Arabidopsis thaliana: one gene and its partners. The protein of the gene in region 1 interacts with the protein of each later gene in a pairwise test. Each region holds a gene or a part of one and is shown on either strand. Other genes may lie near its edges.

What was found.
Region 2: the proteins of AT5G42370 (region 1) and ABCI12 interact in a protein complementation assay, tested with the Arabidopsis thaliana proteins (one large-scale study listed by BioGRID).
Region 3: the proteins of AT5G42370 (region 1) and NHL1 interact in a protein complementation assay, tested with the Arabidopsis thaliana proteins (one large-scale study listed by BioGRID).
Region 4: the proteins of AT5G42370 (region 1) and AT4G03340 interact in a protein complementation assay, tested with the Arabidopsis thaliana proteins (one large-scale study listed by BioGRID).

Annotation. Positions count from the first base shown.
Region 1 is NC_003076.8:16,937,182-16,944,237, reverse strand, and holds AT5G42370 (Calcineurin-like metallo-phosphoesterase superfamily protein), read left to right. Parts: upstream 1-2,503; 5' UTR 2,504-2,774; coding exon 2,775-2,891; intron 2,892-3,067; coding exon 3,068-3,478; intron 3,479-3,572; coding exon 3,573-3,713; intron 3,714-3,824; coding exon 3,825-3,932; intron 3,933-4,018; coding exon 4,019-4,324; intron 4,325-4,484; coding exon of another isoform or gene 4,485-4,543; coding exon 4,544-4,739; intron 4,740-4,826; coding exon 4,827-4,909; 3' UTR 4,910-5,257; downstream 5,258-7,056. Other genes in the region: CML37 (calmodulin like 37), read left to right, coding at 923-1,480; AT5G42360 (Galactose oxidase/kelch repeat superfamily protein), read left to right, coding at 6,242-7,056.
Region 2 is NC_003074.8:7,600,041-7,606,249, reverse strand, and holds ABCI12 (cobalt ion transmembrane transporter), read left to right. Parts: upstream 1-2,350; 5' UTR 2,351-2,529; coding exon 2,530-2,892; intron 2,893-3,002; coding exon 3,003-3,119; intron 3,120-3,201; coding exon 3,202-3,438; intron 3,439-3,523; coding exon 3,524-3,688; intron 3,689-3,788; coding exon 3,789-3,864; intron 3,865-3,932; coding exon 3,933-3,997; intron 3,998-4,088; coding exon 4,089-4,241; 3' UTR 4,242-4,428; downstream 4,429-6,209. Other genes in the region: AT3G21590 (Senescence/dehydration-associated protein-like protein), read left to right, coding at 461-665, 735-808, 1,079-1,200, 1,328-1,494, 1,611-1,699; AT3G21570 (proline-rich nuclear receptor coactivator), read left to right, coding at 5,543-5,953.
Region 3 is NC_003074.8:3,677,197-3,682,662, reverse strand, and holds NHL1 (NDR1/HIN1-like 1), read left to right. Parts: upstream 1-2,719; 5' UTR 2,720-3,002; coding exon 3,003-3,632; 3' UTR 3,633-4,068; downstream 4,069-5,466. Other genes in the region: DGD1 (UDP-Glycosyltransferase superfamily protein), read left to right, coding at 1-162, 263-529, 631-980, 1,063-1,573. UniProt on the Arabidopsis thaliana protein: May play a role in plant immunity.
Region 4 is NC_003075.7:1,466,192-1,472,655, forward strand, and holds AT4G03340 (Core-2/I-branching beta-1,6-N-acetylglucosaminyltransferase family protein), read right to left. Parts: upstream 3,890-6,464; 5' UTR 3,275-3,889; coding exon 2,629-3,274; intron 2,547-2,628; coding exon 2,471-2,546; intron 2,394-2,470; coding exon 2,278-2,393; intron 2,183-2,277; coding exon 1,674-2,182; 3' UTR 1,536-1,673; downstream 1-1,535. Other genes in the region: SYP123 (syntaxin of plants 123), read left to right, coding at 334-821, 985-1,414.

The DNA of each region.
Region 1 (7,056 bases):
TCACGATATGCCAGCACCGCATCATGGAAATTCATTTCATCAAGAATTGAAGATATAGATTAAAGTCTAACATTTTGTTGATATTAGGATCAAATTAAGTATTTATAAGGAGATTTTATGGGGGGAAACAGAGATGTTTTTGTTAAATAATCTTTGAGCTCGATAATTACGGGGAGAAGTTTCAAAGAATAACTGAATTGTTTGAACAATATATGCTGGGCCGAGTTAAACCGTCGAGCTTAGAAAGCCGAACTATACATCAGTAAAAGCTTTTACATGAAGTTGGCATTTGAGATGCAAAAAGATAAAAATAAAACTCTCTTTTGGTCCATATAGAAATATATTTTCTTATGGAAAGGGAATTCAGGACCGGGAATGTAACAGTTAGATGAAACTTCATCACATGAAATATTTTATTTTTAATTCAAGTTTCTAGGAACAGAGGAAGTCATACCACTTTCGTGGAGCATATCTGGACGGTTATATGAAACTTCATGACAGTTTAACAATTTAAAAGACCAAAACCACGTGTCCGCACATCGTATACTCAATCAAAGTCAAAGAGAAGGTTTGCTACTTTTCTTAATCTAGTCGTCGATATGACATCACATTTCACACAATACGTGAGAAAAACTTACCATCACATTATTACGAAAACACCCCTAGTCGTGGTCAACTTGACCTTTCCCCACAAACACTCATTGCGGAGGAAACTTCCCGGCCACCGCCGCGCAACCGCCTCTAGCTTTAAATAATAACACCAAAATATTCAAACCCGTGTTTTAACCGTCGAACAATCAAGAATCTCTCCACCATTACACGCATTCACATACTCATCTATATATAATCTACCACTTCTTGAAAAGAATTTGCATCAGAAATCCATTTCCCAAATCTTCTAGATTCATATTCAAATCAAGAAATGACTCTCGCTAAGAACCAAAAATCATCATTGTCACGACTATACAAGAAAGTTTCCTCGAAGAGATCAGAATCGTCAAGAAACCTTGAAGACGAATCAAGAACGAGCAGTAATAGTAGCGGAAGCAGCTCGTTAAACGTTAACGAGCTAAGAACCGTTTTTGACTATATGGATGCAAACTCAGACGGGAAAATCTCCGGTGAAGAGCTACAAAGCTGCGTTAGTCTCTTAGGCGGCGCGTTATCGTCACGTGAGGTGGAGGAAGTGGTGAAGACATCAGACGTTGACGGAGACGGGTTTATAGATTTTGAGGAGTTTTTGAAGCTTATGGAAGGGGAAGATGGTAGTGATGAAGAAAGGAGGAAGGAGTTGAAAGAAGCGTTTGGGATGTATGTTATGGAGGGGGAAGAGTTTATTACGGCGGCGAGTTTACGGAGGACGTTGAGTCGACTCGGCGAGTCGTGTACGGTTGATGCTTGTAAGGTTATGATTCGTGGGTTTGATCAGAATGACGATGGAGTTCTCAGCTTTGACGAGTTTGTTTTGATGATGCGTTGAGATGATATATATGGGATTGGGACATCTTCCTTCCCTCCTCAAAATTTTATTCATTCAATTATTATTTTTGTGAGAGATTCTTATTCCTTTGTATATTTGTGTCTCATCTAATCTATTTGTATTATTTAACACACTTCATAATAAACGTGTCTTGTTTTGATATTCTGAATTTGTCAAAACATACAAAATGTGTTTATATGTCTCCCCATAACTGAGAATACCCAATTAAGGGGACTAAAATCTAAAACTGCGAGTCGTAAAAGAGGCCAGTCATCACCACCATTTGCCGCTCGACCAATGTCACTAGGTGAGTGAGAAACAACCGATAACGCGCGTATATTCTCACATCACTCATTTTTTGGTAGAGGTCGGTAAAACATTTCATATCGTTTGACGTTTGTAAATCTACAGTTTTATTATGCTAGAACAATGATATTGATTCACATTATTGGATGTTTCTATAATTACAGTTACAAACAGATACATAATTATTGCACCAATTCACTTTTTCTATTCAATAAGAGATAATATTGTTTGTAAACCTTTTAACTAAAACGATCCGCTTCGAAACTTGTTTCTTAATGTCTAAAACAATATTACACTTCACAATTTTGCCATCCGTAGAAGTCTCTAGTGTAAAAAATTCTGAATTTGCATGGTTCCGGGGAAATTTTATACAATCTAGAAAATTGGAATAAAATTTTCATAAAATTATTTTTTTGGTCGGATAAAGTTTTCATAGAAGAACACATATTAAATGGATTTATCATCACATAGTAGTAGATAAACAATTTAAATTATGTAATACAAATCAAAATGAATTAATCTATTTGCCACATATAGTGAATTTGATTTCTATTCAAAGGGGAAAATACAAATTCATTTTTAATATGTAGTAGATATTTGTTTCTCAAGTAATTAATATTCATATTTAAAAAATCATTGCATATGTTAAACAAATCTACAAAAAAATTCAATGGTCATTCCATAATTATAAATAATACGGATATTTCACAAATTCACTTTTTGTTTGGAACCCAGAAAAAAGATTCATAAAACCAGGCAATAGAAATTTCATCTGAAGAAAAGAAAAAGTAAAGCTATTAAAAATCAAAGCCACGAGAAGAAAGTAGAAAAAGTTACAGTCTCTGTCTATCAAAATCCCAACGGTAACTGAAAATCGCCGGAACCGAATCTGCGGCGAGCCAAAACTTGTGGATCTTTTAATGAAAACTTGAAGATTCCTCTTTCCACGGTTGCTTCTAGGGTTTTCTCTTCGATTCACCACATCGTCATGAACCAAATCTCTTTCTGGTGCCTTTCTTTACTCCTTACGGTGGTGATTGCTGCAGAAGAGACTCCTATCACTCGTATAGCCTTCGGATCATGCGCTAATCAAAGTGCTCCACAGGTAAATCAATCGTACAACCCCTACTTGGCTCTGGATTCAGTGTTTTAAGACTGCTCTGTTTGGCTGGTGTTTAAGTGAGCTGATTATGGTTTTTGTTTAATTAGCCGATGTTCTCTTAGATGATATAAGCTTGTGTTGCATACTATGTTAAACATTGTATTTTTGTTACATTTTAGCCGATATGGGATGCGATAAACAAGTTTGATCCGCAACTGTTTATTTGGTTGGGTGATAACATCTACGGAGATATAAGAAGACCACTTACAGTCATTGGGAAAGAGAGAACTTTTGGGCCATGGAGGAATTCACCGAGGTTTGTACCTTCTTCAGAGGAAGAAATGAAACTAAGATACGCTAAAGCCAAAGCTAATCCTGGATATTCTCGTATTCAGAGAAAAGCTAAGGTTATTGGTACATGGGATGATCATGATTACGGATTGAATGACGCTGGAAAAGAGTTTGATCGTAAAGTCATTAACCAAAAACTTATGCTTGATTTCTTGAATGAGCCTCTTGATAGTCCTAGGAGAAAGCAAGCTGGTGTTTATGCTTCTTATACTTATGGTCCGCCTAATCGGAAAGTTAAGGTATTAACAGAAACTCTTGTCTTCTTTGGTAGTTTTGTTAAGTTTAGAATGAAGAGCTTATATGTGATTTAACACAGTTGTGTATCTCCTTCAGGTTATAGTTTTAGATACTAGATATCATAGAGACCCTTTAAGAAGTGACGGGAGCATATTGGGTGATACGCAGTGGGACTGGCTCGAAAATGAATTGAGCGGTCCCCGAAGCGAAATCACTATCATAGGATCCTCTGTTCAGGTATCTGCAAATTAGACTTTTGTGTCCTGTTCCAGTTTGGCCATGGACTTAAACTTGATGAAGCCTGAGTGTCTTATTCCATCTAGAACTGTTGTCTCTTAACTTGTCCAGGTGATATCAAATCTTTCTGCTACCACTGGACCTCTCTTTTATATGGAATCATGGGGTCGTTTTCCAAAGGAAAGGAAACGTCTTTTTAAACTGATAGCAGATACTAAGGTATGGGATTGTTGACAGTAATGTTTCCAACTGTCAGTTTTCTTCTTTCCTCGTCCCCATAATTCTTCGTTGCTTTGACATTACAGAGAGATGGAGTTATATTCATCAGTGGAGATGTACATTTTGGAGAAATCACGAGATATGATTGTTCTGTTGGGTACCCATTATATGATGTCACCTCCAGTGGTCTAGTACAATCTGTTGAGAAAGTTGTCCCTCGTCCCTTGCGTTCCATAGTTAGGCTTCTTTTTTGGTATACTCCAAGCACGATGAGAGTTATCAATGATAACTGCAAATTCAAATCTTGCACATACGGTATTATTCTCAATTTGATTCCTTTTACGTTTTCTTCTGATAAACTGTGGAAAGATTTATTGACAAGCCAAGACACAGTGAGTCTACTTTAAGTTCCAACTTTAGCTCTATAGCTCTACTGTCACTAACCTAGGACGGAATATAGTAGACTGTAACTGTTGTGAGTTGATTTAACAGAGCAGCGATGTACTCTTTTGTATGATTACATTGGTTACAATATCTTAAACTTACGTGCAGGACAACAAAATTTTGGAGCAATATCGATAGATTGGAATGCAAATCCGGTTACCATAAAGCTCGAGATCAGAGATGTTAACGGAGACACTGTACTAGGCACGAATGTTTCATTATCTGAACTCCAACCAGGAGGCTCGAATTCTTTAAAAGATACAACAACTAAGGGAAAGTCTCAACGATATTGCACACTCGAAATTGAATTACCAGGAACGACCAGATACCGATTGGCAGTTCTCATCTACTTCACCATTGCTGGTATGTCATTCTTCCTCACTGTGGTTGGTCATGATGAAAGAATGTTGCGGAGTACTGATATATACGTTGTTTGATTGGGTTCGACAGTCTTGGCAATGGCGATATTAGGACTTATCATTGGAGCTGTATTGGCCATAACAGCATGCGTTTATAAATGCAAGGTCGATTGATTGTTGATGACATTAATCAACTTTTTTTGGTCCAACAAAAGTGTCTTTATGACTTATAATCTGTATTAGTTGGATTATTCAGGGATTACAATTCGGATGTAGCTTATAATGTTAAAAATTGTTGAACACATGGATTTTGATCTTGTGATGGGAATTCTAAGCTTGAGCTGTTATTAATTAAACTTCTTTGAAAGAGAATGTTTGTGAACACAAGTTAAATTCTAGACTACATGCAATAGCATTATAGTTTCCAGTTTCTTTTTTCTTTTATTATTGTAAACCAAGGTTTATCGTTTATTACATATGAAGGTTTTCACTGTCTATTTGTAATAAATTAAACAAATTAAAGTTTTTATAATTTCAGTAATGATCTCAAAACGGATACTAGCTTTGATTGGTGAACAAAAACAAAGTATATTGGCTTTGATTGGTGAACAAAAACAAAGTATTACAATTTGTACCGCTTTTATTTCTGTTAATTACAAAAGCTTTTTTAAAGCGTTACAAAAAGTTTTACTCTCAGCTTTATTACTATATAGCTTTCTCGTACAACTATTTTTTTACAACTTTGCAGTATTCCGAAAAAGTTTTTATCACCGTTAACAGTTAAGATTTGAACAGCTGTATGTTACCGATAGGATCCACTATACTTCCCAAATCTGATGTTAATTAGTAATATGAGGTTAATTTTTTACTATTTTATTGAAAAAGCGATATTCTTGCAATTGACCCATAATTGAGTCAGCTTAATTTCCATTTATTTTTTTTTTGTTTTTTATTTATTTTTTTAGCTTCCGCTTTCTGCAGTATGATCTATTTAAAATAAAATAAAAAAGGGAAAAGTGGGAAATCGATGCGTCAATCTTAGGTCTCCGAGGTCTCAATTATTTCATCTTCTTCGGTGATTTCTGGGGAAGATGCTCTGGATTTGGGAAAGCAACTCTGTCGATGGATGAATCTCTTTTCGAAACTTCTGGGTGATATGCTCAATGTGAGTGAAATTGTTCTTCGAATTTGTTGAATTTCGTCCATTGTGTGAAATTGCAGACGCGTCTTGTAGTTTGATTGTGAAACTTAATTTTGTAGGCTTCTTTGAGTTACTTCGTTGGAATTTTGGAGTTAGGCTTTTTACATGTTTAATCTTTAATCGAGTGGTTGGTAGAATAAGCGGATCTCACTATAATGCTTTTTGATCATCGCAAGCCTCATGAGATTGTATACAACTTGAAGAAGCTTTGATTGATTTGCATTTGCAGGTTGATTATCTGTGGAAAATGATGGTCTTCTTAGCATGATCAAGGTGTCTGACTTGTGAAGTTTGTTAGATGACGGATGATGATTTCTGAGAAACCGTTGGGAGAAGAATCTATACGGCAGGATCTGGAGGTTTTAACCGTTTCGAGGAGGCTTGTGAAAAGTGTTAGCCAGAAGTTGAAGAAAAAAATTCATAAAACTGAGGTGGTGGAAGATGAAGAGGTTGCAAGGGGAGCGGTGAATTGTTTAAGCATCAGTGTTGGTTGCAGAGTTGCTGATACGGGTGAGGATTTTGAGGAGGATTTAAGTAATAAGAGATGGTCTAGTGCTAGTGAGGATGGTAAGGGATTGATGACCATTTGTGGAACTGAAGAAATTAGGTTAGATTGTTTTTCTTATGGGGTTAGAGAGAGGTTCTGGAAGAAGAATAATAGAAGATACCTTGCGGACTCGGGCCAGGATTACCGCAAGCACGTTTATCTTCCCGATGATATTCTGGAAATGTGTTTGATGAGGCTTCCTTTGACCAGCTTATTGAATGCACACCTTGTTTGCAAGAAATGGCAATCCATGGCCAACACTCAGCGGTTTCTCCAGATGAGACGAGAAGGCTCCTTTCAAACACCGTGGTTGTTTCTGTTTGCTGCTCTTAAAGATGGATGCTCCTCTGGTGATATTCACGGGTATGATGTTTCTCAGGACAAATGGCATAGGATTGAAACTGATCTACTTAAAGGCCGGTTTATGTACTCCGTGACAAGCATCCATGAGGAGATTTATATAGTTGGAGGTCGTTCTATGGACAGAAACTCTTTCAAGTCCCACAGAGGGATCTTGGTATTCAGCCCTTCGATCAAAGCATGGCGTAAAATCGCGTCTATGAGACATGCTAG
Region 2 (6,209 bases), on another chromosome or scaffold:
ACAAAACATATAAAACTCAATTTTGGGGGAATATAATTCATCAGAGAAGAATAACACACTTGGGATTATGTATAACATACCTTAGGAGAATGATATCACAAAACACCAATGTAAACTCTACAAAAACCAGTTAAACAAGCAACTTGATGAAGTCTTGGAAAACATAACACGTATGGTCAAATTTAGAAGTTGTTTCTATAGATGAAATCATATATTAAGAAAAGGTATTCTCTCATCTTCTGTTGAAACAACTTGCTAGTTATACAACTAGAAAATTTTACTTATTCTTCACTACCAAGCTATATGATCATATTTTATGGTCTTACATTTTTGTTGGTTATTAATATGATCAAATGGTAAGTGTTTACGTCATTACCTTCGATCATCCAACATTATATAGGAACGAGCCTCACATATAAACCAAACTTAAAAGTACTACTGTACTAAGAAAGAAGACACAATGTCCACATCAACCCAAGAAAACCAATCTGCCCAAGCGGTGAACGAAGAAGTTTTGTTGGAGAATCCCGATTACGGAGTCCAAATCGTCGATAAATCCGAACTGTTGGAGCTAGCCTTGAGTTTCTTAGGGGAAGACGGAGAAATCATGGAAAACCCTGAGTTTCTTGGAGATATCATGGGGGAGAAATCTTCAAGTACTTCAGGTAAGAACAACAATGAAATTGATTGGAAAAAGTTTGCACCGAAGGCTGAAGACTACAAAAATGGTGTAGCCAAGGCCATCGCGGTAGGAACAGGGCATATCATCAAGGGAATCTTCACTTGTAGCAATTCTTACTCTAAGAAGGTCTCATACATATAAGTCCCTCTCATGATGCTTATGAGTGTTAATAGATGATTGTGATTTGAATCGAAATATTTGTTGTAGTAAAGAATCATGAACTTCCAATTCAAACCCAACTTGTGGAACGACTTATGTGTTTTATTTACTAGTATAGATCATCTTATTTTTGTGTTGGATTTTTAAAAACTTTTATATGAACATGGAGATGTAAGACGCACATATTGTAGTATTTTTTATTATTAATATCGTTTTATTTTCTTACAACAAAAACAGATTCACGAGGAAGGAACGATTGCTGAAGAGGATGAGGAAAGAAGTGGTGACATATCACAAATTGATGGAGGTGGCAACAATGAAACTAATAAGAAGAATAAACTCAACAAAAATCTTCAAAGGTATTCATATTTTAATCTCTATCCCACAAAATAGTATATATTATACCAAACAATAAAATCTTGGTTCTTGTTCCTTCTTATAATGAACCAAATCTTGGTTATTTTGTTGGATGTAACATATACATAGAGCGGAGAAGCTGTGGAAGGTGAGCGAGGCTATAGGAATGGCGGCCTTAGAAGGTGGAGATTTGGTGAGCAGTTCGATGATAGCTCCGGTGGTTAAGTCGAAGTTAGGGAAGGCATTGTTATCCACTGCTCCAGGAGAGGTTATCTTGGCATCACTTGATTCTTTTCGTAAGTTACATAGAATAGCTCCATTAATTGTCAATCTATACTCATATTCATTTATTTTGAAGTTTTTGAGATCAAAATTTAAATAAAACAGATAAACACTTTGATGTGGTCAATAGATAATATAATTGGTGCTGCTGAAGCGGCAGAAATACAAACTCATTATGCCACATCCATGGCTGCTACTAGACTTGTGAGTAAGAGGTAAAAAGCTCACTTTGTGATCCTCAATTTTGAGAATGAATTATGTTTCTATAGTAACACACCGGTATTTGAATCAAAAGAATGATTATATCGGTAGAAAATAAAATCGAAGTTGGTAGAATTATTGTATAGCGTGCATACAATCTAATAATTAATTACCAAATAGTTTTGAGGGGTAGCTAATGATTTTTAGAGATAGGTTATCATTTTTATTTGTTAGGATTGTTTAGATGAGTTATATAACATGTTTACATGACCATCGAATTTTACAATTTTATACATTTATTGAGTTGAGTGTAACACATATTCACATTTTTGTGATGACCGCACCAAAGTTTTGGAGAGAAAGCCGGAAAAACCACCGGAATAATACTGGAAACAACGGGCAGCTTAGGCCGAACCGCCTGGAATATTCAAAAAGCTCTCGAGCCAACTTTTTCCATCACCTCAAAAATTGTCAAAAATGCTCCTAGGCAGTAATATGTTATCTATCTTAAAAGCTAAGTTACATTTTCATATGCTGTATTGTATCAAATTACTTAATCTTGGTTTTGGTGTGGCTATGACTCTACGAGAAAAGATTTATACAAAAAGAGTGTGAGAAAATCCAAAACGAGTCTATATATACATCAAATTCGAACAAGAACCGAAATCCAAATTTTGGTATACTTTGACTTTTGTTATTATGAGAAGTTGAGAACCACAGTCAACGTCCGACAAAACCAACAAGTACAACAGTTTAACACTTGACAGTTTACAGTATCTCTCTCTCTACCAAGTACAGAATTTCCCGCTCTAGGGCATATGTCTGATCCAATCCGAAATTGAAAACTCATGAATCACTCCAATCTTGCCAATCCAACAGTCTCCCTCACCGTAACCCTAATCCCCAAACACCCAATTCGTCATCTCACATCTCCAATTCCTAACCGGAACTTTACAAACCCTAAGCTTCTCTTCCCGCTCCGGCTTAATGAGACTCCTTCCTCCTCTCTCGCCGCGAAAAGGGTTTTCATTGTCAGAGCCACCGTCGACGGAGACGGTAAAACCGGTAATTGGGTGAACCGGTTACCAATTCCAGGACTTGGAGCCGAAAACGTCTTCAGATTGATTTCAAGCGCCACCGGAAGTCCCATCGGACAATTCATATCGTCTCCTGTGACATTTCTCCACTCGGTGGATCCCAGAATCAAATTGGTATATTGAATTCTTGATTCTTATCAAATTTCTAATCCAATTTTGTTAAAAAGTTTGAGTCTTTTTTTTTTTGTTAAAGCTTGAATTTTGGTATTTGTATATATGTGTAGGTATGGCTATTAACTCTAGTAGTTCTTCCAGCAAGAGCAAATCTAGTTGTGCGTTTAGGACTTGTTCTATGCACAGCTCTTTTGTCAATCCTTGTTCTCCCAAGACAAGTTTGGATAGTGAGTTCTGTTTCTCTGTCACAACTCTGTTTCTATATGTGATCTATCTGCTCTGCTGAGTTTCCTAACTTTTTCTGTAAAGGATCAATTGGCGAGAGTGTCGCTTCTTTCGGGTATTCTCTTCATAACATTGGGGCTAGGTTCAGATGGTGCACCTCCAATGCTTCAATCAAGAACACCACCATCTTCAATCACAAGCTTGCCTAATCTTCCCATGTCTTTAAGCGGTTATTCGTACATGTTACTGAAGCTTGGTCCTTTGCAATTCACAAGGAAAGGTTTGTCTGTTGGAAGCACAGCCGCATGCTTAACCTTTATTGTAAGTCGGTTTTTCGACTTCCGCGGTTTACCTATTTCCTTTCTTGATTAGATCACTTAATGGAACATTTGGTTTTTGGTCACAGATCTTCCAAAGTGCTAGTATTTGCCTTGCAACAACAACACCAGAGCAACTTGCACTAGCTCTACGTTGGTTCTTGTTCCCATTGACATATATTGGTGTTCCAGTCAGTGAAATTATCCTCACGCTACTGCTTTCACTGAGATTCATTAATTTGGTTTTCGATGAGGTAACGACTGTTCACTTATTCGCTTTAATATTATCAATCAGCCTAGTTATTCCAAGTCCTAAACCACATAATGGTACGTTGTGCATATGTTACATTGTAGGTCCGAAGTGTTTCACTGGGAATTGTATCGCGAAGAGTAAACTGGCAGCAGCTTACTGTTCTGGAGACACTTGATAGTAAGAATCTAAAAGTTTCTTCTCTCTTTCTATATACATCTCATCTTACAAGTGATCGCTTTTTGTAGTTTTCGCGTCATTCATACGCCGCATCTTCAAGAATATATTTCGTCATGCCGAACAAATATCACAGGTCAAATAGATTTCACTTATTATCATCTCATTGATTTGAGAATCAAATAAGAATTCTCTGTTGAAGAAGTTTGTAATTTATGTGCATGCAGGCCATGATTGTTAGAGGCTTCAGAGGAGAGAGCAGTAGCCACAAGATCTACTTCTTCTCTGGCTCTTCGAATAAGTTTGCAGATTTTGCATCAGTTTTGTGTTTAATCGGTGTAATCTCAACCGCACTCTTGTCTGAATACTTTCTTGTCTAATATTGATTCATACTAATCTTTATTCGAGCTAAACTTGGAACATAATTCAGAAGAAAAGATGATCTTGAGGTAGAATCTCTATCATGATCATCCAAATGTTGTATGTGATAAATTTCTTCCCCAATGTGTAAGATTTCGTTGGGGGTCCGGTTAGGGTAACACAATACAACTTTGTTATGCTCGCCGACCAAGAAACTCATCCCATCAGCAAACATATTCCAACTCGGATTAATGGTTTGCACTGTTGAGAACTTGCTCCATGAGATGACTGAATCCATACTAGTTGTCACCCATACATTTAAGTCTTGTGAATGTGTTTCATCATTATAATAACCTAACACTAACAGACAAAGTTTTCTATTTTTGCACGAAGAAATTATACCTAATGAAACAAATACCCTTTAGAAAAAGTGTAAGAAATTGCCACATTTCTTCTTTCAAATTACGTCAAAAATACAATCTATACTTAAAGAGTTAAGAAAGATGATCCCAAGCCAACCAAGGGCGTGATCTCTTCAATCTCACTCGATAAAGTCTGGTACACCCTTGTGTGATTTGATATGGTTTTCGTGTCCAGAAGAGACAAAGGCAGACGAAAACAGTGTCTCACATCTTTTTCTAGAAAATAACGGGTCAATGTCTTCCCAAGCCACTCGTGCTTGCTTCTATAAACAACATCAATCTTGAATTCTACCAAAAACACTCAAACTATATTTCGGCAATATAGTTTCTTGCATTGGAAGCAATCACTTGTTTCCATCATCACAGCTTGAAAAAGATTTGTCATTGGAATTAGTTCATATTTACAGTTCTCATTTAAAACATGTCAATATATGTAGTCCAATGCTTGTTTGATTAATCCCATAGAGCAACATTACATTAATTCAGCAAAAATTAGATTTGTGGAAAATCAAATTTAAAAATGGAAAAACGGACAGGGAAACAAACTAAATTAAACAAAAAGAAAAATAGAATTATGTGTTTAGGTTACAGATGCATCGTTACGAGGAAACGAAGCTCTGACAGAGAAGCCATTTTCTCCATTTTTGTCATCTCTTCTAATTTCTTCTATTTATTCCAGTATTCCATTAACCAGCAAAAAAACTCATAAATTAGATTATTTGTAGATTTTAACCAATTTACAAAAATTTCGAGCAGGAATCGAAGAAAAGGACTATTTGACCCTTTTCTTCTTCCTCCTCCCTCATTTCTACCACCACGATTTCTTCTTTATTTATTAGCCGCCGAAGGGAATTCCTCCGGCGCCATTTTTTATAATTTTTTTGTTTTTATCTTTAGAGATGGGAACCGAAATTATCAGGCCTCAAAATTGTTTGGTTGACCGGATGAGAGATTCTCCGGCGACTTTTTTTAACTCCCGGAGGAATCATTTTCACCGGAAACCGCCTCTCAAACCTGATCAAAGGAGAAGATTCGGTTCCGATGAGTTCAGAACGACGACAAAGAACATTGTTAGGAGAAAAGGAGAGTCTTTTGACTCATTCTCAAACATCAAAGTTCGTAAATATTCACCGGAGGTTTCTGCCGATGATATTTATGCCGGATCTTCGATATTCGCTGTTTCCCCAGCGCCAAGCTCGTTACCTTTGCCGTCTTTCTCGAAGAAGAAAGCGAAAAGCCAGGTTGTTGTCGTTTCCATTGATGACTCGGCCTCTCAAGATCTCCGGAGACTTCTCCGGCTAAAGTTTTGAGACTATCAATTAAACGAAAAAGTTATCGAAATCGTCAGTTATTTAACGGTTAATATATAAAATCTAGGAATCGTCTCCGTTACTGTTTTTTAATCTTATCTTTCCTTTAAATATCTTGTTTAGAAAGGGATGGGTATGAAAAAGATTGAATTAAAAGTATGGGGTCAGATTTAGAAATTAATGTTAAATATTAACTGACTTTTTTGAATTCTTTGTGTAATGTGGAAATTTAAAACTGAAATCCTTTGAGATCCAA
Region 3 (5,466 bases), on another chromosome or scaffold:
ACTCTCGTGGTTCCTTGGCTCTGCGAATCTGATCAAGAACTAGTGTATCCAAACAATCTCACCTTCAGCTCACCTGAAGAACAAGAGAGTTATATACGTAAATGGTTGGAGGAAAGGATTGGTTTCAAGGCTGATTTTAAAATCTCCTTTTACCCAGGAAAGGTATGTTGATCATTTTGGATTCTATTTTTTTATTTCTATGGCTGCCAATATGTTTTTCAATTATTTCTATAGAGTAACTGAGCTTTCTGGTTTCTTATAGTTTTCAAAAGAAAGGCGCAGCATATTTCCTGCTGGTGACACTTCTCAATTTATATCGTCAAAAGATGCTGACATTGCTATACTTGAAGAACCTGAACATCTCAACTGGTATTATCACGGCAAGCGTTGGACTGATAAATTCAACCATGTTGTTGGAATTGTCCACACAAACTACTTAGAGTACATCAAGAGGGAGAAGAATGGAGCTCTTCAAGCATTTTTTGTGAACCATGTAAACAATTGGGTCACACGAGCGTATTGTGACAAGGTGAATCATCTACTCTATTTCTTCAAGCCTTGTTCTGTTGCTTGAATCCTCTTTACTAATAAATAGTACACGAGCTAATACATATTTTCTACTCATGAAAGGTTCTTCGCCTCTCTGCGGCAACACAAGATTTACCAAAGTCTGTTGTATGCAATGTCCATGGTGTCAATCCCAAGTTCCTTATGATTGGGGAGAAAATTGCTGAAGAGAGATCCCGTGGTGAACAAGCTTTCTCAAAAGGTGCATACTTCTTAGGAAAAATGGTGTGGGCTAAAGGATACAGAGAACTAATAGATCTGATGGCTAAACACAAAAGCGAACTTGGGAGCTTCAATCTAGATGTATATGGGAACGGTGAAGATGCAGTCGAGGTCCAACGTGCAGCAAAGAAACATGACTTGAATCTCAATTTCCTCAAAGGAAGGGACCACGCTGACGATGCTCTTCACAAGTAAGTTCTGAAAAATGTGCTTTGCTTTTAAAAACTTGTTAAGGTTTCGCTCTTTGATTGTCTTTCCCACATCTTGATGAAGGTACAAAGTGTTCATAAACCCCAGCATCAGCGATGTTCTATGCACAGCAACCGCAGAAGCACTAGCCATGGGGAAGTTTGTGGTGTGTGCAGATCACCCTTCAAACGAATTCTTTAGATCATTCCCGAACTGCTTAACTTACAAAACATCCGAAGACTTTGTGTCCAAAGTGCAAGAAGCAATGACGAAAGAGCCACTACCTCTCACTCCTGAACAAATGTACAATCTCTCTTGGGAAGCAGCAACACAGAGGTTCATGGAGTATTCAGATCTCGATAAGATCTTAAACAATGGAGAGGGAGGAAGGAAGATGCGAAAATCAAGATCGGTTCCGAGCTTTAACGAGGTGGTCGATGGAGGATTGGCATTCTCACACTATGTTCTAACAGGGAACGATTTCTTGAGACTATGCACTGGAGCAACACCAAGAACAAAAGACTATGATAATCAACATTGCAAGGATCTGAATCTCGTACCACCTCACGTTCACAAGCCAATCTTCGGCTGGTAGATATTTCCCCATAGGCCACCCAGTTATTGCTTGTGACTTATTAAACCACTACGTTATTGTTATCCTTTTTTACTTTTACAGTTGTTGTAGGTCGTTTGTTTGTTAATAGAAAGGGTAGATTATTATTAGATGTCTTTTTGTAAAATATCAATACGAAGCGTATTTGATGATATATAAAATAACTATATTGGCAAAAATATGAACTATGAAGGCCGTTTTCGTGATTTTGTTCTTTTGTTTCACGAATTCAAGCTATTCCCCTTTTTTTACGCCAAAGATGAAAAGAACCCTCCCTATTAATATCGCTATTGTCTAAAATTTCGAAAACTACTTTAATCACGACTAGACCAAATATATGTCGACCGATACCGATAGAGAAATTAGTGCCCCGTCTAATACTTTCTCTCCAAAATTACAGAATATTTAGAGTAGTTAATCAACGTAACACGACAAGGAAAATGATGGAAAAAGTGGTGGTTTCTGCTTTGGCAACTAGTGTTAGGTCACTTACGTCCTCTTTTTCTGTATTGGAAATTACGTGGATAAATTGAACTTTCTTTCAATCTCTATCAAATTATTAATCCACACATGTATACGCAATATATGATCATTAAATAAATAAAAAGTTAGATTGGTCTATAAATTCGTATCACAAATGGACTAATAATTTGTAGTGAAAACTCATTTACCCATGTGACAGCTCCAAATTTCTGAACTTTTTATTTTGAGGGATGGTACAAATCCGAGTTCCATGATCATGGAAAAATCAAATTTAACAAACACAAATTACTGTTTGAAACAAGCAAGTTACTATATATGTAGTTTGATTTCACACTAGAGAATCTACTGATAATGAATTTTTTATATATCGTGAAGCTGAAAGTGAAATTATAACTAGCTAGTTGAATTGCTTATTATGGTTGGAGGGGAGCCGATGAAAAATTCTTCGACCACACATAAAGTCACCTTTCTAAAGAACACTTGCACCGACCACATCAATCACGCATTCATAAATTTTCAACATTTATATAAATGTAGGAAAAAAACAAAATGAATTATAGAGAATACAAAATGACAGTTAACAATAAATATATCACAACATAAATTTTATGTAAGAAGGTTAGCATGATTTTTAAAAATATATTGTTGTGATTAAATGGAAAATAAAAATGTAGAATACTTGTTTCTTTAAAAGGGTCTTTGTTTTGATTACAATTTTTTTTTTTAAAGAATACCTTTAATATTAGGGAGAATTATTATAGTTTATAATATGAGAATACCTTTATTTCCCTATCACACTCCTATAAATCCTACATATAATTAGCCCATTATTTAGAGCCATCACTAAAACAAAAAATCTCTTAACAACTTCTCCACCTTCTCCCCACCACCACCACTCACCGTCGGAGAAAGAAAAAAAACAACCACCATGAAAGACTGTGAAAACCACGGCCACTCTCGCCGGAAACTAATAAGGCGAATATTTTGGTCAATAATCTTCGTCCTCTTCATCATCTTCCTAACAATCCTCCTCATTTGGGCAATTCTCCAACCATCAAAGCCACGCTTCATCCTCCAAGACGCCACCGTCTACGCCTTCAACGTCTCCGGCAATCCACCGAACCTCCTCACCTCCAACTTCCAAATCACTCTCTCTTCCCGGAACCCTAACAACAAAATCGGCATTTACTACGACCGGCTTGACGTCTACGCTACTTACCGGAGCCAACAAATCACTTTCCCAACATCAATCCCTCCCACGTATCAGGGACACAAAGATGTCGACATCTGGTCGCCGTTTGTTTACGGAACCTCCGTTCCCATCGCTCCTTTTAACGGCGTTAGTCTTGACACCGATAAAGATAACGGTGTCGTTTTGTTGATCATTCGTGCTGATGGTAGAGTGAGGTGGAAGGTTGGGACTTTTATCACCGGGAAGTATCATCTTCATGTGAAGTGTCCAGCATATATAAACTTCGGTAACAAAGCTAACGGAGTTATCGTCGGAGACAACGCCGTTAAGTATACGTTTACCACTAGTTGTAGTGTTAGTGTGTGAAACGGCGACGAAGAAAAATAAGGTAACTAAACGTCTTCGTTAAGTAATCTGTCTTAGTGATGTGAATTGTACATTTTGCTTATACGAATAGCAAATATTACAGATTCGTGATGTTGTAACGAATTTTAAGAATTTCAATATGTATACTTTTTTTTTATTATAGTTGAATTCTAAATTCTATTATAAGTTGTGATGATTTTTTCGAAGTATTTTTTTTGCTGATTTTGATGCATCTTCTGATCCTGTCAAATCGACTTTTGATGACTTTTTCTTATGTATATGGTAAAGTTTGATGGCGATGGAGATTAATTTTTAGTTGAATAGATTAGGCTCGTTAATGTTTTGTGGACGTTGTGTGATGGTGTCATTGTCCATTTGTCTCCATCTTTTTATTAAATTAAATAGAGAGATGCATTTTATATAGAGACTATTCTACAACAAATAAGACATTTCAAAAAGATAAATTTTGTGGATTGGATTATTTTTAGTCACATCTATGGATTTATAGATAAGTTCTATTTGTTGGTGTCTGGCTTAAAAAAATGTTTTTCGTGCACTTTAAAAGCCCATTCTCCTAGAGTTTTGCTACATTGAAATAAAGTTAATACATAACGTTACTTACAAGAATTTAGAATCCGTGGATATTATCGTGGATATTATCGTGGATATTCTTGGATTACCGTGAATATTCTTGGATCTTGAATTGTGAAAATCAGAATCCGGTCTAGAGACTTATTTCTCGTTTATCTGCATTTCCATTCATTTAACTTATAATGTGGTCCATGAAATTGACCAAAGAAATTAAAGGGGAATATGGTCCTTTAAAACTTATTATCTAAGTTGGGAATGAAAATAATATAAGAAACGTTAGACGAAAAAAGTCAGTCACCAATAAGACTTTGGATATCAGTCACATGATATATAGTAGTATATAAGCAACGTTCCATACTTCTATCTCAAATAAAGTTGAGAAACCTAACTTTGGATTTCCTTTGATTTTCAATAAAAATAAAGTGGTTATGAACGTGCTGTGTGTGCTGTTCACACAAAGGCACTAGAACGTCCGAGTAATGCTCAGCCAAACTCACATAATTTTCTGAAAAATGGCCTTTGCTACCTAACTTAAAAATAATTTACAACAACGGAAACTTTAGATAGTTGATCATTGATCAATAGTGCGTGCATCAGTGCATGCATATTTGGAATGAATCAATATTGATTACATATGCAGTGGATCTATCTCAAAATAATACTGATCAACTATTTGTAATATAATTCTTCATTCAAACAAATTAAGTGTTTTAAAAATGTTAATAATTATGATCTCTATCTTAGACATTTTGAGTTTATGTGTTCATGACTATATTTAGTGTAGTTCCATGAAACTAGGGTTTTAGTAGCGTCTTTATGTTCGTCTACTAACGGGCTACACTATTTTATGTTGGGCCGAATTTGGGATAAGCCTTCTACAATTTGGGATATCACTCATCACATTTTACATATTCCTACTTTCTTCCTTAGCATTGAGAAACAAACTTGAAAATAACGCCTACTTAAACCTAGTTTTATGGAGCTGCACACTAAATAAATTGTTTCTTTTTAGTAACAATAGTGGCTAGACGTTTAATTATTAAACCTTTACATTTGAAATGCTTCTCGATTGCTGAAAAAGCTCTGACCACATTCAAAACGTAACGGCACTTCTTTTTCAAAAAATTAAACCGTTGGTTAAGTATAACCGATCTTGGTTATCTATCAATAACAACAACAAAATAGCAAATAATGGTCACAATTAATTTTCCTTGACCAAATCCTTCATTCATTAACCAAATCA
Region 4 (6,464 bases), on another chromosome or scaffold:
TTTCGGTTAAGTGGGCTCCATGATTCCCCACAGGACATAAAAAAGTGATCATTATTGGAGACCACGTCTCTGCAACATGGTACCAACCAAATCACAATGTCAGTAATTTTACATTCCATCTTCTTTACAAAGTCTTCCTTGGTCTTGAAACTCTTGACTGGTTCTAAACACAGCTCATTATATGTCTATTTAGTATTTTACACATTGGTTTCAGACGGCTCTTAAAGGTCTCTCTAGCTTCATGTCAACCATCTAAACCAACCACCATTAATGTTCCTCTGCCCATTTTCAAGAAATTAGAAATCATTTTTCTCTAAGTTCTTGATCGTCGCCATGAACGATCTTATCTCAAGCTCATTCAAGAGATACACAGACTTAAACCACCAGGTCCAACTCGATGACATCGAGTCTCAAAATGTTTCTCTTGATTCAGGCAACCTCGATGAGTTCTTTGGATATGTCGAGAGTGTTAAAGAAGACATGAAAGCTGTCGACGAGATTCATAAGCGTCTCCAAGATGCTAATGAAGAGTCCAAGACCGTACATGATTCCAAGGCCGTGAAGAAGCTTCGTGCTCGTATGGATTCGAGTGTTACAGAGGTCTTGAAACGTGTCAAGATGATAAAGACTAAGCTTGTAGCTTTGGAGAAATCAAATGCTGCGCAGAGGAAAGTCGCTGGTTGTGGTCCTGGCTCGTCTGCTGATCGGACCAGAACATCGGTCGTTAGTGGATTGGGGAAGAAGCTTAAAGACATGATGGATGATTTTCAGAGACTACGAACCAAAATGGCTACTGAATACAAAGAAACGGTCGAGAGAAGGTAAATTTTATTTCTTTTTCTTTCATTTAGGTGTTACTCTGATCCAACAAAGACCAAATCCTTTTACTATGATTGAACAAAGATCAAATCTTATTTCAAAAAATGTTTAATCTTTCGAAGTAAGAGATGGTAAGGTTTTGAGTATTTGGTTGAATCATTGAAGGTACTTCACTGTAACGGGGCAAAAAGCGGACGAAGAGACGGTCGAGAAGCTCATATCGAGCGGAGAGAGCGAACGTTTTCTCCAAAAAGCAATACAAGAGCAAGGTCGCGGACAGGTCATGGACACATTATCAGAGATTCAAGAACGACACGACACGGTCAAGGAGATAGAACGGAGTCTGTTAGAGCTGCACCAAGTGTTCCTCGACATGGCTGCTCTTGTCGAAGCTCAAGGGAATATGCTCAATGACATTGAATCAAATGTCTCAAAGGCGAGCTCTTTCGTCATGAGAGGGACTGATCAATTGCATGGGGCTAAAGTACTTCAGAGGAACAACAGGAAATGGGCTTGTATCGCCACTATCCTCGCTATTGTAGTTGTTATTGTGATTCTTTTCCCAATCCTCTTTAACACTCTACTTCGACCTTGATTTCAAAATGTAACTTATTGTTTTCTCCAAACTCCTTTTGTTAGAGCCCTTTCGATTTCTTGTATTGAATCCAGAGCTGAAGCGAGAGTTTAATTTGAAGCTCTCTCTAACCATTCTTGCTACTGTAATTGCTTTATATCTAAAATTTTGGGTGACATGGATCGTTTTGTATAACTTTATATGGAAACCTATGAGGCTATGACCTATGAGTACAACTAAAACACAATGAATTTACATTTTGAGCTTGGATCATTACCTGTCATGAACATTGTTTTATTCTGAACTCATCAGATAAAAGTGTCTGAAGAAGCTCCTTTAATCTCTCAGCACCAGGGCCTGGTTTCAAAGCAGAGTCATCCCCGCGGACAGAGCACGGATCAGCGCCATTTTCCGAGCTACCAATGCACCAAGCTCCTGAGGAAAACCGATGAGTGCGGCCTAAGAGCTCTCTATCGATCTTGTCTAATACAGGATCGTTCTTGTGGAACTTTCGAGCAAATGGGGCTTTGCTTTTGACCATCTTGTCGAAATCCTTCATCGATAAAGAGTTTGGGTGTTGCTTTGGAGGATAGTCCCAAGCAATGTAGTGCAGGTCATGCCCAATCGCGGTGCTCTTGAACTCTTCAGTGTTACATATCAGTGTGTGAAAGTATCCTTCTGGAGAGGATACAAAGTTGGTGTAGTACATCAAGATCGTCCTCGGAAAATTGTCCCATCCCAAGATTGAGTATTCAAGAAAAGACCGAGTCAGAACTACCCACGCCGAGCCTGCAAGATTCAAGACAAGGCAGATAAACCATCTTTCTTTCATCCATAACCATAAGACCTGTGTATGAACTACCAAAATGAAGATGCTAGCTAACCTGTGAACAGCGTGAAAGATGTGGGAAGTGAACGGTGTTGAGTAGTCCAAGCAATTTCGGTTTTCTTCGATAGGTAAAGACCGGGATCAACAATGATTGATTTGGCCCTTTGGTTCCTGCAAAAGACCATGAGAAGCACATCTTATTCACTATTTCAAGATAATGAGTTGCTACTTTAGCGGTTACTACTTACAGTTTCCACCCGGTGAGCTTCATATGTTCAATGAAATTGACATTCCGAGACAAATTCGCAAACACATACAGCATATCTGCAGAATCAGGAAGAACCAAAAAACGTCACTAATAAGTATCAAAGACCAAAACATGCAACTTCAAAACAAAATCACTAACCATCTTGTGTCACAAGAGGATAATCCGAGGCACTAAGATTGATGAACCAATCCCAATCCAAGCTTTCTTTAAGCAAAATCGCCACGGCCTGAAGCGTGCAAGCAATCATTGTAGGGCCTTTATAAGTAACCAAATTAGACTGAGACATAACACGAACGTTCTCAACTTCACGGAAAGTTTGATCACTCTTCACAGACATTGCAAGCTCAAGCCTTTCCTTAGGAGGAGCTTCAAGATCCAAATGCAGAACATACTGATTTCTTGGATGATACACAGCTTGCAAAGTCCTCATCATCCTAAGACTATCACCTTTCGTCCCCGAGATCAAATAAGCTAACCTAGGAACCTCTGAAGAAGTCGAATCCAACGTCGAATTCAAAGACATTCTCAATTGTGATTCTACAAAGTAATCATTTGTTTCTTCTGAGAGATTATCAAAAGGCAATGGCTCTTCCACATAAGAAGTCTCGAGTTGGACATAAAGGACAGACATCAAAAGAGTAACCGACAAAACCAAGCTTGCTAAAAAAGGGAACATCCATTTTCTATCTCTGAAAAACCTAAACCCTGAATGTGAACTAACATGTCTCTTCAATCTCGCTAATGGGTCTCTGATCCAAATCAGCTTCCTATACACTTTCTTCATCCCCCCCAAAAAAAGATCAAAACTTTCTCTTGAACACCTAACCAGCTAATCAAAATCTTAATCTTTTGTACAAATAAAGATAAATTACCAGATAGAGATTGTTGCTGCAGAGTTTTCAGAATAGAGGCAACTAGAACAAAAATGACAAAAACCCAAACCAAAAGCTAATTAATAGAAGAAGAAAGTTGATAAGAACACCAACAACCAATGCACCAACCGAATAAAAGGAACAGTTTTTTTTTGCTACTGTTTATTGCTTTTGGCATGTCAGCTAAAAAAGCTTGATTAGTCTTAAGCTAAGTCAGATCTAATGACTTAAATCGGAGTTTCAAGAACCGAACAATCAACAGATGCTTAAAGTTTAAGTCTTTGTGTCTTTCAAAAAAACATAACAAGACAAGTCCTTGGACTAAGACAGATGCTGCTGAATGAAATTACGGCAGGAGCGTAAAATTAGGGCAGAGTTGTCCTTGGACAAAAACAAAGTTAATGAGGGAGACACAAAGAGAGAAAGATGTCAATTTCTTCGAAGAACAAAACATAAATGGATTAGATTCGGAGTGGACTCTGAAGAGAGAAGAAATGAGAAACAGAAGCGTTGAGAATCCAAAAAGTGATTAGTTTTTAAAATTCAGGGTTTTAACTTAAATTGTTGGCAAAATCAATCTGATTAATTATTTTATCATATGGTTTTTTTTTCTTTAATAATGGGATTAGCTTAACGTTGAATAGTCTCTTTAACGAAAAACGTTGAAGCTGAAAGTCTCTGACACGCAAAAAGGCGCGTGACCGTTGTTGAATCGACCATATCTCACGCGCGCATGACGAATGTGTATTACACGAAAGTGGACAACGATCAAGAGAAATAATGAACTGTGAAGAAAAGTTTGCTAATCAATAACTGTTTAGAATATAACTTTTCGTTCTTCCAAACTTGAACTAGATCTTGAATAAACAGTCATCAGCATATCCATTTACATATATCAAAATTATGTTTTGTGAGAGTAAAAACCAAAGTCGAAAATCATCTCAACTGCTCTGCTACTCTTGGACATTGGTCAGAAGATAGTCCAGCATTAACCCCCTGAGACTGAAGTTGCATCAATTGTCGTTGATTAAGCTTTAACCACATATTTATGGGGAAGCCTAAGTGGTGTTTGCTGGTTGAAATAGCTCTGATTTACAACAACAGGTCATGGCCAACTTGGTGTTGTAGTCAACATCTGCTCAATTAGCTCCGGGTAGTGCATCATTAGAGCTAGACTTGGCACTTCTTCGTTCTGCTTATTGGTCCCAGGTCAGCAGGTATCTTGACTTCCTCCAGTTAACCTGACTCATAAGGCTAAACCACATTCTCAGACTCATAAGAAGCTAGTAGTTTTTTTGATAATTGTATTATAATAACTAAAAAAGAAGACTGGAAAGGTGAAACCAACAGACGAGAGAAACTGATGAAGTACACGTGGCATCCCTAAATCAACCAAACCTATACTCCATTGTTCTTTCGACCAAACCCTGAATCTCCCTCATCTCTCAGCTCCATTGTTTGTTTTCTGCTTCTTTACAAGGAGAAATGGTACTAGTTATGAAGCTTAGAACATAATCGATCTTCCTCTCTATCTTCATCTTTTAGCTCTGTCCCTCTCGCGGTTCTTTCAGCTACGTTTTCTTCTTGTGTTTCTGAGTGATGAGTGTTACTGTTCTAATGTCAAACCTTTGATATTTCTCTCAGTCTCATTCGATGTCATAGAGAAATGGGCATTGTAAAAACAGAATCTTTATGATTACTATATTGATCTTTCACTCAAAAGAATTGAATTTGATGAAAAACGATTTGCTATACTACTCTGTTGAGAAAGTGAAAATCTTTCTTCATCTTCAATTTTCATTGTGATTTTTTTTAGACTTCTTTGAACTAAACAGTTGATCTATAATAATCTTTAAGAAGTTGCACAAAATGGGCATTCAAAAAAAGAGAACCTTTCTTCGGACTAGTAATAATAATACCTTTAGTATCATAATGAAGATAACTCTTGCTTGTTCTAGACTTTTTGAATACTAAACAATCATCATCAGCAATTCATTTACTGATCAAACCAACATTAAAGTCTTGCTCATTTGTACACATAAACACATGACATAGTGAAGAAATTGACCAAAATCATTTCAAGGTTTACAAGATTACCAGAATTTCAGAAACTCAAGAGTCTTCAAAACCCGAAAACAAAATGGACCCAATAGAGGTTTTGTAGCAGAACTGAGGCAAATTCAACGAAAATTACAAACTCCAATTGCTAAATAAAAGAAGTTAACTTTGGAATTTTATCACAGAAAAACCTTGTTTAGTTCTAAATTGAATCAAATATGATGACTTAAATCTAGTTGAAGAACCTAACTGAGAACGAAGACATGCTCTTTTATCCTTTTAGAAAACGTAAGAGGACAAGTCCTTCAAAAACGACCAATGCTGCAGAGATAGTAAGGAATCAAAATTAAAACGCATAAGAGTTCAAAATCTTACCAGAAAATGGGAGAAAATCCATTGGACAATGAACATCAAAGCAGTAGCTACAAAAAAATATTGAAATATAGGGTTTCATTCATCAGACTTTGTGATCGTTTTGGGGGAAAAAAATATTGCTTTCAGATATAAGATGTGAGTCAGTGAGTGTGCCTTTTACTAATCATACGGAAGCGTTTTAATTCTTCAACAGCTTTACCTACGAATACGATGACTGACTGATTTATGCCACACGCTGTTGCGAGGTTGAAGTTCCCTAACTATTGGGATGAGCAAAGCAACGCGTTCAAGAATCGCAAAAAGATGAGCTTTAAAGCAAAGTTTGAGGTCAAAACCAAGCACAACCTTTAGATAGTACGTAAAATTATAGTTGAGGTTTTGTGACACTACGTAGATGCTGGTAAATTGGCAAGGATTTTACATGAATGTTGTTACCAGAAAGTAAATAAATGTTCAATCTCTGATGTTCTCAAGTAAGTGAGTCTTATTGGGAATAATTTAAACTCATGTTCTTCTTGCATTTGATTTCTTTGCCACTCTCTTCTTCTATCTCAAATCTGTCTATACTATCTCACTACTGGGCTTTTTATTAGTCTACAATGGGACTCAAAATAAGGCTTTGGCCAACATCAAAAAGATAAGTCACAAACCAAAACTAAATTCAGAGTC